Linked DNA regions of Rattus norvegicus. The protein of the gene in region 1 interacts with the protein of each later gene in a pairwise test. Links are inferred from orthologs where the notes say so. Each region holds a gene or a part of one and is shown on either strand. Other genes may lie near its edges. The genes, in order: Drap1, Gtf2b and Pole3.

What was found.
Region 2: the proteins of Drap1 (region 1) and Gtf2b interact in binary tests that used the Homo sapiens proteins (3 or more experiments, as listed by UniProt). The two-hybrid records come from large-scale screens. The link is inferred for Rattus norvegicus from reciprocal best matches to the Homo sapiens genes DRAP1 and GTF2B.
Region 3: the proteins of Drap1 (region 1) and Pole3 interact in binary tests that used the Homo sapiens proteins (3 or more experiments, as listed by UniProt). The two-hybrid records come from large-scale screens. The link is inferred for Rattus norvegicus from reciprocal best matches to the Homo sapiens genes DRAP1 and POLE3.

Annotation. Positions count from the first base shown.
Region 1 is NC_086019.1:212,160,771-212,164,929, reverse strand, and holds Drap1 (dr1-associated corepressor), read left to right. Parts: upstream 1-1,167; 5' UTR 1,168-1,372; coding exon 1,373-1,414; intron 1,415-1,645; coding exon 1,646-1,718; intron 1,719-1,803; coding exon 1,804-1,897; intron 1,898-2,176; coding exon 2,177-2,296; intron 2,297-2,394; coding exon of another isoform or gene 2,395-2,415; coding exon 2,416-2,509; intron 2,510-2,649; coding exon 2,650-2,738; intron 2,739-3,116; coding exon 3,117-3,222; 3' UTR 3,223-3,818; downstream 3,819-4,159. Other genes in the region: Bles03 (UPF0696 protein C11orf68 homolog), read right to left, coding at 1-151, 808-929. UniProt on the Homo sapiens protein: The association of the DR1/DRAP1 heterodimer with TBP results in a functional repression of both activated and basal transcription of class II genes.
Region 2 is NC_086020.1:234,441,101-234,445,258, reverse strand, and holds part of Gtf2b (transcription initiation factor IIB), read right to left. Parts: intron 3,684-4,158; coding exon 3,550-3,683; intron 2,746-3,549; coding exon 2,599-2,745; intron 2,467-2,598; coding exon 2,337-2,466; intron 1,377-2,336; coding exon 1,095-1,376; intron 1-1,094. UniProt on the Homo sapiens protein: General transcription factor that plays a role in transcription initiation by RNA polymerase II (Pol II). Involved in the pre-initiation complex (PIC) formation and Pol II recruitment at promoter DNA.
Region 3 is NC_086023.1:80,990,123-80,994,380, forward strand, and holds the start of Pole3 (DNA polymerase epsilon subunit 3), read right to left. Parts: upstream 2,621-4,258; 5' UTR 2,608-2,620; coding exon 2,542-2,607; intron 2,448-2,541; coding exon 2,362-2,447; intron 2,052-2,361; coding exon 1,933-2,051; intron 1,701-1,932; coding exon 1,534-1,700; 3' UTR 1-1,533. Other genes in the region: C5h9orf43 (uncharacterized protein C9orf43 homolog), read left to right, coding at 3,411-3,471. UniProt on the Homo sapiens protein: Accessory component of the DNA polymerase epsilon complex. Participates in DNA repair and in chromosomal DNA replication.

The DNA.
Region 1 (4,159 bases):
CAGCTCTGTGGCAGGTGTAGTACGGGCATCAAATACCAGCCAGGGGTCCATGTCAGCTGCCATGGCCTCTGCAGCCAGGTGCTCAGCAGTGAAGCCATCCTCACGACCACCTGGAGAGTCCTCCTCTTCCAGCTCTTCATTTGGTTCCATCCTGTTGTGAGGGAACTGAGTCAGAAGTTTGAGACAGTAAATAAAAAGTACTGGGTCCTAGAGGGTGCCAGGCACTGCTTTTAACTGTGGCCTTGGGCAAGTCTTAATGTCTGTGCCTCAGTTGCTTCATCTTCACAATGGGATAACAACTGATCCTGTCTAGATTTGTCTCTAGAATAAAATGCCTGAGGTGGAGTCGCTATTGTCAGTACTACTTTCACTGCTTAAAAACAAGGAAATTGAAACTCTGAGAAAAGGGGCTTGCCCAAGGTCATGTCTGTAAAGACCGTTAAAGCTTAAGTGTTAACTGGCACAGGACTCTGCTACACCACAGGACTAGAGTCTCGCAGGTAGCGCGGCGCTGCAATTTAATGGACGTAGGCAAAACGCAGGTTCGCCAATCTCAGAGGCTGGCTGGAGAGGGGCCAGGCCTCCCATGGTGAACTATTTGGGGCACACTTATCAACACCAAGACTCTGAGACCCAGAGAGGACAGCGGCCCATCTGGGGGTCAATGGGCAACATCCGGACTCGAACCTGATAGGACAGAGTCTGCGCGAGGACCAGGCTCCAGCCTTACCACACCCGCCGCCATTAGTGTTCACAGGTAAGGGTTGCCTCCACCCCCGGGCTGCCCTCTCGTCGCCCCACAGTCACCTCCGGCCTTCACTCCGCTCCGCGCCAACCCAACTTCGGGCCCGGCTCCGTTCCTGCCCGGGGTCTGCGCCGCCACCCCCGCCGCGCCCCGCCCCTGCCACGGCCGCCGCCGCCGCCGCCATCTTAGGGTCCCGCCACCTCAACAACAACTTTATAGACAAACACAGTCACGGGGCGGGGCCAGAGGCGGAACCAGAAGGCTAGGGGCGGGGGCTCCAGGGGAAGGGGCGGGCTGAGTTCAGGGGCGGAGCCAGCGCGAGAATCCCGGGAGGTGCAGGTCTTCAGGAGGCGGAGCTAACGTTCGTACTTTAGCTTGGAGGGCGGGTGGGCGTGGCGGGCGATCCCTGAGAAGGACGCGCACCGCCCTAGAGGATCCAAAGCCCAGCGCTTGGGTTTTGGGAGCTGCTTTTCTACGAACGGCACTAGGACCCTGCGAGAAGTGGTGTGGGCGGAGTAGGCGGCACCAGGACCGGGGGGAACCGCGGCCGGCTGGCGGCGAACAGGCCCGGGGCCTGGAGGCTGCGGGCGGCGGCGCTGGGCCCGGCGCAGCGTGAGAGGCCCCGAGATGCCAAGCAAGAAGAAGAAGTATAACGCGCGGTTTCCGCCGGTGAGCACGTGGCCGGGATGGGCCTCTGCAGGCTAGGTTCCTGGGAGGCTTGGGCCCAGGTCCTGCTGGTGGGGGGACGGGTGCTTTTAGGTGTTCATGGCCTGACGCCCCGCCCCTTCCATGCCCTCCTGGCTTAGTGCCCCCCGCCCTCTTCTCCTGGGATACCCCCCGGTTCACTCAGCTCCCCTGTAGAGACGCAGGAGACGAGCTCTGTCCCCTTCCCCTCGGCAGGCGCGGATCAAGAAGATCATGCAGACAGACGAAGAGATTGGGAAGGTGGCGGCAGCTGTGCCTGTCATCATCTGTATCCTACTAGGGGCTGGCTGGGCTGAGGGGCGTGGGGCGGGACTGCGGCACTCCCCTTTTTGGATTCTCCTTGACGTCCTCAGCCCGGGCACTTGAGCTCTTCCTGGAGTCTCTGTTGAAGAAGGCTTGCCAGGTGACCCAGTCTCGAAATGCCAAAACCATGACCACGTCCCACCTGTGAGTGGCCGCTAAGCTGGGCTTTTGAGGAGGCAGTGTTCTGACAGGGGGAGTGGTGCGCTGCTGAGGGAGGCCAGCTTTGTGGGTTTGGACTGATGTAGGAGAGATAAGGTGTTTCAGGTGGAGGGAACAACCAGAGCCAAGCCGCCCGCCCGGGAGGCCTGGTGGAAGTGGGGAGGGGTGTTCCACTGTACTGACACGAAAAGGTTGTTTCTATGATTCCGGAACATCAGTGTTTTGGGGGCCCTTTTTGAACACCTTCCTCTCCCACTTCTACAGGAAGCAGTGCATTGAGCTTGAACAGCAATTTGACTTCTTGAAAGACTTGGTGGCATCTGTGCCTGACATGCAGGGTGATGGGGAAGACAACCACACGGATGGGGACAAGGGTCCTCGAAGGTGGGTAACCAAAACCAGGTATATAAGTGGGAAAGGCCAAGGCCACAAGGGTTGGGGGTGGCTGGGGGGTGAAGAAGGGGAGAGAGTCCTCTGTGCAGATGGCCTGTACCTTCCCGAAGGGGCCGGAAACCAGGCAGCAGTGGCAGGAAGAATGGAGGCACAGGAAGCAAAAGCAAAGACAAAAAGCTGTCCGGGACAGACTCAGAACAGGAGGTGAGTGAGGCCGGTGGGGAAGGCCTGGTCTCATCCTTGTTACAGCCTTTGTATCTAACTCCATTGCCTTACCAGGGTTCTGGGCTCCCCAGAGAAGGGCCCAGACCTTCTCATTAACCTGACCCTTGCTGTGCTCACAGGATGAGTCTGAGGACACAGATACAGATGGGGAAGAAGAGACACCACAGGCCCCACCCCAAGCCAGTCACCCCCCTGCCCACTTTCAGAGGTGAGCACCCCAGGGATACCAGAAAGAGGCACAACAAACTCCCCAGAGCCAGTTAGTTTTACTTCCCTAGCCATTGGTGGTGGTGGTGGTGGTGGTGGTGGCGGCGGTGGCGGCGGCTGACTTTAGGGAATGGAGGGGAGAGAACACTATTAAACACAAGAGATTGTTCTGAGAAGGCCTTGCCTCCATGGTAGTGGGTCGGGGAGAGAGTCTGGAGAATGGTCTTTGCTGGGACCTTCCCTCCTAGGGGGGTTGTCTCCATGATGTAATGGGTGGCTTTGACTACACCTGCTTCTGTCTCTGGAGAATGGGGGTGGGCCTGTGGGTTGGGCACAGCACAGTTCCAAGCTCTGATTTTCTCCATTTTCTGTCCTGCAGCCCTCCAACTCCCTTCATGCCCTTCACCTCTCCTCTGCCTTTACCCCCAGCACCTCCCGGCCCCTCAGCACCTGAGGCAGAGGACGAAGAGGATTATGACTCCTAGCGCCCTTTAACCCTGGCCATATGCTCTTTTAGTTAGTATTAGTTGCTTTGGGGAGAAGAGAAAGATGGAACTGTTCTTAAATTTATTAAAAAAAAAAAAGGATTTTGGTTTCTTTTCATCCTGTGTCCAGGGCTTCGTGGCTGTATTGCCCATCCCCCCACCTCCCCACATGGGGGCAGCAGGAAGGAACATTGTTGGGGCAGCCAGTGATTGAGTTAAAACAGGGAGTCTGACAGGAGTCTGGGGCACTGAAGAAAGGAATGTGGTCTAGGGACTGAGTTGCCACATGCTAAGGGGTGACCTCTCATTGTGTGGGACCTTGGGCACCTTCTTCCCCTCTCTGGACTGCTGAGAAGGGACAGATGGAATCAGTACTGAGACGGGGCCTTGAAAAGTATAGTGTTGGGCTGGAGAGATGGCTCAGCGGTTAAGAGCACTGACTGCTCTTCCAGAGGTCCTGAGTTCAAATCCCAGCAACCACATGGTGGCTCGCAGCCATCTGTAATGGGATCCGATGCCCTCTTCTGGTGTGTCTGAAGACAGCTACAGTGTACTTATATATAATACATGAATAAATCTTTTTAAAAAAAAAAAAAGAAAAGTATAGTGTTCTGCAGCCAGTGCAGTGACGGGCTCGGCACAGTGAAGAGACGGGTACCTGAGATAGCAGAGGGTCTGCGAAGCATCTTTGGAGCCAAGCAGTCTGCCAACTGTATCTGAACAGCCTGGGCAACCTGTGTGCCAAAGGCAAGAGGTACACCTTCAGGGAGCAGCAGCCATGTGGGGTTCCCAAGTGTAAAAGCCCTAGAGGGGATGGTAAGTCATCTGTCAACAAGCTTACCAGCTTCTTCCTGATGGAGGCATTCAGAGACCCTTAGGGAATGTGCTAGGTGTGTGGGTGCGGACAATGGTGGCTGTAGTCTGGGGAGACTCAGGG
Region 2 (4,158 bases), on another chromosome or scaffold:
GAATAAATGGGAAGGAGGATCATTGAGAGGAGGGAATTTAAGACAGCGTGGGAAAGGAACCTTTTCTGCCTAGGATATTAGTGGAGTAGGAAGGTCAGCTGGGTGCTCTCTCTGAACTACCAGGCTTTCACCACAGCATCTGGCTCCTGAGTCCTTGGTAAAATCAAACAGCTTGGATTTCTGTTGTTAAAGATATGTGAAGCAACCCAAGGCATATTCCTGTGGTGACAGACATGCTTACTTTTATCCAGTTTCAGAGCTGAGACAATATACCAACCATGTGCAGAGCCTGGCTTTATCCCGAGCACAGCATAAAAACCATCCTGGGCTACACAGCAAGCTGGAGGCCAGCTTGTGATGGATGAAACCTTGCCTCAAAAAACAACAAAAACCACACAAATGGGGATGAGCCACGAGGCCACATCCCTCTCTGAGGGATGACTGACAATGGTGTCTGGGGAAAGGGGTACCGTTTTCCTCAGTGATGGAACGTAGGTAGGGAGCCCTGCTCATGCCTGCACAAGCCAGGAAACCCATCTTTCCCCCAAGTCCTTCCATACAGAAAATACCCTGGGCTAACGTCATCATTTTTCACTCGAGGGCCCACCCAGGAGTACTTCACTGACCTGCACCTACGAGATGGGTGAACCCGCTCAAGCTCTTCCTCCTAAGAAGCCTGCCTCTATCTACTTTTAATCTGCTCTAACATGGCCTATACCGCATCACCCAGGGAGAGGAACCACTGATATGCTGCAATAAATAGGTCCCTTCACAAAAGACACAAATTAAAGTTTAATTTGGAGAAGGAGACTTGTACACAAGGCTATGCCTGTAAATAATCACTATAAGCTACTGTATTTTACTGTATTTTACTGTATTTTCTTCAGGGGTCTGCTGTTGTGAGGTGCTGGGACTGAAAACCAGGCTCTCAAGCCTACTCTTGGTGAGTAGGACTATGTCCAATCCTTTTCCCTTATGGGTTAATGTTTCTTCAAGGATCTGAAAAGTTAACCTTTCTCATGGGAGATTAGGAGTAAAACCACTACATTCCCAACCTTGCCATCTCATGGATGACTTCATGTTGAAGATCCTACCTTTCTGTGTTCGCTTCTCAGCTGAAGCCTGGGAGGCCATGTAAATAGCTGCTGCCGCCACAGAGATAGGACTCCTGCCAGGAACCAAGTCCAGCTCCACAGCCTTGCGGGCTATGTGTGTAGCTGCCATCTGCACTTGCTTGGGGAGGCAAAGGTTGGAGCAGAACCTGGACATGAAGTCCCCAGTTGTGATCAGATCCACGCTCGTCTCCAAAGCTTTCAAAATCAGTTTAAAACAACGGCCAATTTCTTTCTTAGAGATTCGAGACACAGCACATATTTCTAAAAGAGAAAATATTCTTAAAATATTTGTAAGACAGTTCATTTTATAATTTTTATTATAAAAATAAAACATTCTGGTTGTAAAAAGAATTCAATCAAGGCTTAAGATGAGGTCATAAATCCCTTCACCAATACTACCTTTGTGGTTTATTACTCAACATTCCATCCTTCCAGAATACAAACTTATCTAGTTCAATTTATACAAAAAAAAGTTCTCCAAGTAATCAACTTCTCTTATCTCCTTATAAGGCAGGCTCTAAGGAGAAGAAAGACAACACTCAGTCTGAAGAATGCAAGTGCATACATGTGCCCTGCAACTGTCTGCGTGCTGTCACAATACAAGCTAACCTGCTATCCCTGTTTGGGTTGTTACAGCAAAAAGACATGCGACAGCCACTCCTCTCACTTTGACACAGGAAATTCATGAGATGCTCGTTGGATATGGTGAATGTAGTCCCAACCCGGACCTAGTCAGTGGAGGGCAGTGTATCACAGCAACACGGGAGGAGTCTATCCTGTGCCCGAGTAAACACAAGCTTGACAAAAGCCAGCACTTAATTCAAAGACCTTGGTTTGCACAAAACTGCAAACACTAAGCCTCAAAATAAACAGGAAAAAAAAAATTCCACTGATGTCTTCCAAGACTTGAGCCCCTCAAGTGTGAAACCTGTGCTAGCCATTGTTTTCATCACTGGCTACAGATGTAACTTCAAAAGCCTCTGCAGCATATGTCAGGCCTTCAAACCCATAAAACAGTCACCTGTACTGTGGCCTTACAGGGATTAAAAAGATGCTACCTGCAAAAGCAGCTTGCACAGAAGACTGTCTTGTGCATTTTCTGTCAAAAACCATACAGAGCCACGGTAAGTGGCGTACATGGTCTACTGTACCGAGTACAGCACACTAGCCGTTAAGCCTCAAAGCTGCCTGTCTGAGCTCTTTGGTACAACTGAAGCCTACCTTTAAATGTCCTGGGAACGCCTTCTTGTCTACAAGCGATGTACAGACAAGCAGAAGCTATCGCATCATTAGCTCTTCCCTTCAGGCTCTTCTGCTCATATACTTGCTTGAATAAATTATTTGTTCGATCCTTCAAAGCAGAGAAACTAAGTTTAATTAAGTCTAGACCATTTAATTACTTACAGTATCAAAATTTTATGTGTTCATTAAATTATACAAAGTGAATGTCGGAATGTCTTAAAGGAGGTGGACAAGAACTTACAACTATATTGCGTGGGAGGTTGATTCTGTCTGCCATGGTCGTGATCTCCTTGAATGCGTTCATCATAGCTCTATCAGAGCTGCTCATTGTTCTCCGGTTCTGATACTTAGAATTGCCAAATTCATCAAAACTTGCCGCTCCTGTACCCTATCAAAGAAAGAGTTAACCTTGCTCAACCTTTGTGGACGATTTGAACAGACGGCGTCTATGAAGATGTAATGCACAGGCTCTGACTCCATCTGTCCTGGGAGTCTGTCCAGTGGAGCCCCTGGTTCCAACAAAAACTTCCACTAGAACATGCTTTAAAGAAGCTGGTTTCACAGACATTTAAGTAGGTGTCTACCACATATATCCCTATGACTGGCTACGTAGCCTGCAGAGATTCTCCAGCTTGGCCTGCTGCCTGAAGAAAGCTCTAGGATTGCAGTTCGTGCCTATGGTAGCATCATTACTTGGGTCCATCACTGGTTCTCCATCTGGGGTAAACAGATGTTCATATTGGATCTCCTCAGAAAAAAGTCTTACACAACCAGTACAAAGATGGTAACGTTATTTTGTAATAATATGTATACAGGTGCTTGCCTGTGTGTGTGTCTGTGTACCACTGCATGACCGATGCCAAAGGGATCCCCTGGGACCGCAGTGACAGTTTGTGGGCCTCACTGTGGGTGCTGGGATTTAACCCAACTTTTCCAGAAGAGCAGCCAATGCTCTTAATCCCAGCCCAAGTCTGTAATTTTGATTACGAGACTGTAATTTGTTCTTCCCTTCATGATGGGAAAAAATGTTGGCAGACTTTCACAATACTAACACTGGTGAATCTTATTTCCAAGTCAAGGGTCTCCTCTGTGTGACACTTTTAGTGAGTGAATGACACTTTTGCAAAAGTCTTAACTTTCTAGATTGTTATCTAGTCTCCTCTTGACATTTCCTGCTAGGTGGAATTATTACCTTGCCAATCATGGTGGACAAATCTCCATCACTCAGAAGAGGATTCTGAGAGTCTCCAACTCGAGATGGGTCTTTCGTTGCTTTGTCATTGCTGAAAGTTCTCCATTCAGACCCCACATCAATAACCCGGTCCCCTAAGAAGACGAGCACACAGTTACTCACCCAGCTCCCCAGGCTGGCTGATGGTTAGCTTCCTCACGTGGCCACTTGGCGTCAGCTTAGAACCATGTCCTCTTACATGTGTGCTCTGCAGCATTTACCAACTATGCCAGTCCAGGATAAGCTATGTAAACAATGTGCTACCATTCATATCCCAAATCTTACAAGAAAGAACAGTTTAAAGATTGCAGAAAGAAAAAGCCAATATGGTAATCCATGCCTATAATTCTAGCATTTGGGAGGCTGAGGTATAACAGAGACACCAAGGTTACACTGACTATATACATAGGAAGAGCTTGTCTCAAAGATCAAAGCAAAATAATAAAATTATTCTTATGTGACACAAAGAATAATGAAGCCCGGTTTGGTGGTGCAAGCCTTTTATCCCAGCACGCAGGTGGAAGAGGCAGGCCGATATCTGGATCCCCATGAATTCTAGGCTTTGTTTCA
Region 3 (4,258 bases), on another chromosome or scaffold:
AACCAGGAGAATCTCAGGAAGAGCAGTGCCCTTAAATTGTGATTACTTATTCACCTGCTGGTAACCCAAGAAGACACAGGACTCTGTATGTGTGCTGAGGTTAGGGGGTAAAAGAGGGGTGTCTTGGTGAGTCCTTTCCAAAAGTACATTGTGTGGGTCATCATTTAAACAAGAATTTATTTGTAGAAAGCATTAAAATCTTCTCAACAGTCTCCAGTCACTTTCAACAAACTCTTCCCTGTATTTCCCTGACTAGTTAACAGTGTTCAACTATATTACATTACCTGTCAGCCTCATGTGCACAACTAAGACAGAGAAAGTGCTTGGAGCACTAAATGGGGAAAAGAAAGGCCAACAGGCACGCTCAAAGCTGCAGCAGTGGTGCCACATTCCTGAGCACCGTTTCTCTCACCTTCAGGGTCAGAGGTGCTTCTCAAGTCTCTTTAAAAGACAGGAGATGAGGAAACAATCTGAGGACCTTGCACTTTATCAGAGTCCCTAGACTAGAAGATGAAATGAATAAGAGGAGGAGAAAGCAGGGCTGGGAAGCAGAGGCGGGAGAGATGGAGACAGAAAGGCTGTGCCTGGAGGAGATAAAGTCTCTGGAACTTGCTATGAGTTCAGGGGATAAAAAGCAGCAGCCATCATCTGAGAGGTGGACTAGAGAAGAGACAATCTGGGATTTTATACCTTCCAAGAGGTGGCACTAGGTTCTACAGTGGCAGGCACTGAGTTACCGCCAAGTTTAAGCCACCTGCTTTTAAGAATTGGCACCCTTGGGGTTGAGGATTTAGCTCAGTGGTTGAGCGCTTGCCTAGCAAGGCCCTGAGTTCAATCCTCATCTCTGGGGGGGTGGGGGTGGGGAGTTGGCACCCTTTTTTGACAGATTCTAACCAACACTCAGAATTTAAGAGTATATGTCTTAGGAGTGGAGCCACACCAGAGCACTGGGCATCTACAGTCACTACAGGACTACAAAGCTAAGTGTAGAAAGCCAGAAGCCAAGCAATGCTACCATCGAGTGAGGAGATTTCCTTATTCTCTCACAGCTTTTTAGTCATTTCCTAAAGAGCAACCATTCTGAGCATTAATATCTATTGTCAATTACTGTACAGTCAAACAGGGTGACCATGGTCCAAGCCCCATTTCCCCCTGACCGGTTAGCAACTCTGCAACTTGGAACGCAGCAAGAAACATGTTATTACTTTTTTGGAGGAGCAGGGAAATAGGATCAAAAACTAGCTAGCTATACACTTTAAGTAAACAAGCAATACCAAACTATGTAGTCATTCGGAATCCCTTACACTAATAAGGCATAACCTGCAGACTGATGAAGCAAAGCTGGTTTCTGTAACTCAGACGCTCTGAGTTTGGGAAGAGCTAGCTAGCTTTGATCTTTCTGGTCAGTTTTTATTTTGATCTCAGGCACCGTTGCGGAAGATGGCTCTGCCTTGCAGGGAGAGGCTTCACATAAACACATCTCAGTATCTGAGGGTCCCTTCCACCGTGTCAGAGTCTGCCCACTCTCTCCAGTCAGTTGTCTACCTCCTCCTCTTCGTTCTGTTCTTCCTCATCCAGTCTTTCTTCATCTTCATCCTCCTCCTCTCTGCTTTTGTCCTGCTCTTCGCAATCTTTTTTGTCTTTGTCCTTCTTCTTTTGCTCTGAGGCTTCCTTCTTGCCTTTCTGCTCCCGCCTGTATGCTGTAAGGAAGCAGGGGATTATTGTTTAATTAGACAAACCGAGTGAGGCACCAGAGGAATAAACAGGCCCATATCACATATTCGAAATGGTACCAACTCAACAGAGTGGAATCATGACCAGTCCTGGACCAGTGAATGGGACCTAATGGCAGTAGTATTGAAATCAGGTGATCAGGGAACAAAGGATGAACATCTTTCACGTGGTTTAAGAAGCAGAAGAGCACATGGATACCTTCTAGCGCTTCTTTCAATGGCGTTACGAACCGTTGGAACTCCATCTCTTCCATGGCTGACAGTACATCACTGGCATTGAGAGTCTTGCGCTTTCCTTTCATTGCAAAGTTATTGGCACTGGAAGAAAGAGCAAAGCCCTTCAGAAGCTTGTCAAAGTGGTGGGGACATGAGACAGCCAGAGATGGGGTGGGAAAAGCCACATTTATCTTAGATGAATGGGTTTTTGTATGGCACAGCTCAATTCATCCCTTCCCCGTACAAAGGGCTACGACAACCGTCTTGTTTAACCTGCCTCAGAATTTGTGAGGCTGCAGGAGAGCTGTGAGTCGCTCTCTAGTGAAGCAGGGAACTGGGGCCTGTGGGTTCCAGGACACGAACGCAGGGTTAGGATCCCGCTGCGCCTCCCTTCCGCCTCTGCTCGGCTTACCAGGATGTGGCATACAAAACGAAAACACTGGCCGCGCGGGAGATGGCGCTTCGGGCCTCCTTGGAGATGTTGACACCGTCCGGTAGCTGCAGGGAGAGTGGAGATGAACACACATGCGGATTCTGTTAACTTTCTGGCACACGTCCGCCCTCGACCCATTCTCCAGCCCGAGCAGCTCACCGCCTCCTTGATGATCCTGGTAATGACGGCGTTGGGCAGATTTAGGTCCTCAGGCCTCTCCGCCATTGCCTCCGCTTGGGCCCTACCCTCCTCCTCAGGTCTCCTCGCAGACAGTTCTGGTGTCTGGACTTCCCGCGTCGCTAAGATATGACCCTCGGAAGCTTCCGTCCTACCCTACGTTGCCAGTGTCCCACAGTGCTTTGCGCACCACAACTTCTCTGCTACATCAACCCCGCCACAAGTCTCCAGGGTAGCCCAGCTTTTCCATGTCGCAGTTGTTTCGGACCATTGAGGTTTCCATCCGCTTCCACCGCATCCTGGACGTTCCACTCCAGGCTTGTTTCTTACTACACATCGCTGGAGCTTTCGGACTAAACTAAGTTTGACTCTCTGAGGTTTCCGTCTATTCTCCCATCGTGCCGTGCGCCGCTGCTAGGCAACCGTGCGGCCTGGTGCTTAGTTTGGAAGGGGTAGGCGTAGACTGAGCCCGACAAGGCAGGACTGGGACCGACGAGTGGGCGGGGCCTCTAGAAGAAGTGGGCGGGGCCAAGACTTGGGAGTGCTTTCGCAATCTCAGTATTGTCCGCCCCCAGAGGCTCAGAACACAGCCCTTTGGAATCTGCTTTGATCCCGCGAAATCGCGGACTACGGACACTTGAGTGGCCCTCCCCATCCCTTTTTTTCCGGAACTCAGTGTAGCTTTTCATTCAATTCTACTACACCGAATTATGCATTAGAATTGTCCATCTTTAATTTCATTCCCTTCACAACTTTGTGATAATTGTATTAAGAATAACTTTTATCTAAAATTTCGTTTAAAAAAATGCTATTATTCGGACAGCAGTAACCTGGGCAATCTCAAAAGCTTGATGAGACTTCGCAGCTCAATTCGGACTGGTTCGGTAATGAAAGGGCGAAAAGCATTTGACTGTAAGAATAATGCATTGTATTCTCATTCAAAAACCCGTGTTAAAGTATTTTTTAATTCATTATGTGAGTCATCTTACATTTTTCTTATCAAAATCATCATCACTTGAGTTAACATTTACAATGTCGCTTTAAGTTGTATAATTTTCATATTAAGCACAGAAAAAAAAATACTCCTGAGAACTAATGCTTATTTCCTTCTTAATTTTTCTTTCTTTTTTTTTTTCTTGAAACATGTTCCAAGACTTTTTCCTATTTTTAATGGAGACGTTACAAAGAAACATTTTCCTATTTGGAGAAACAAAACAAAACGATCCAACAGTTTTAGGGTGATGATGCTAAGGGATTGTTCTGATGGAGAGAATTCTGCACTTAGAACAGGCCTGTCTTAAGGATGTCATAAGCCTTAGTTCCAGCCACCATTTAGCTAGAACTGGTGCTGTCAGGCATTTTGATCTAGGAGAAAAGCCAGAAATCTAACATTATAGGACCATTTCAGTTTTTAAGACATGGGCTAAAAGTGCCTGCCAAGATAAATTACTCCTAGGCCAGGTGCAGCCCAGGCCACTAGATCCCTATCTCTAATTTAAATTAGAAGCTGTTTAGAACCAAGTGTTTGTTTATTGCTATTCTCTATGTCCCAAACAGGTCCTCTCATATATTTGACAGTCAATAAGTATAAATAGAAGAAGAAAAGGACACTGTCCTTAAAAGTTAAAAAGGGGGGGTTGGGGATTTGGCTCAGAGGTAGAGCGCTTGCCTAGCAACCAAGGCCCTGGGTTCGGTCCCC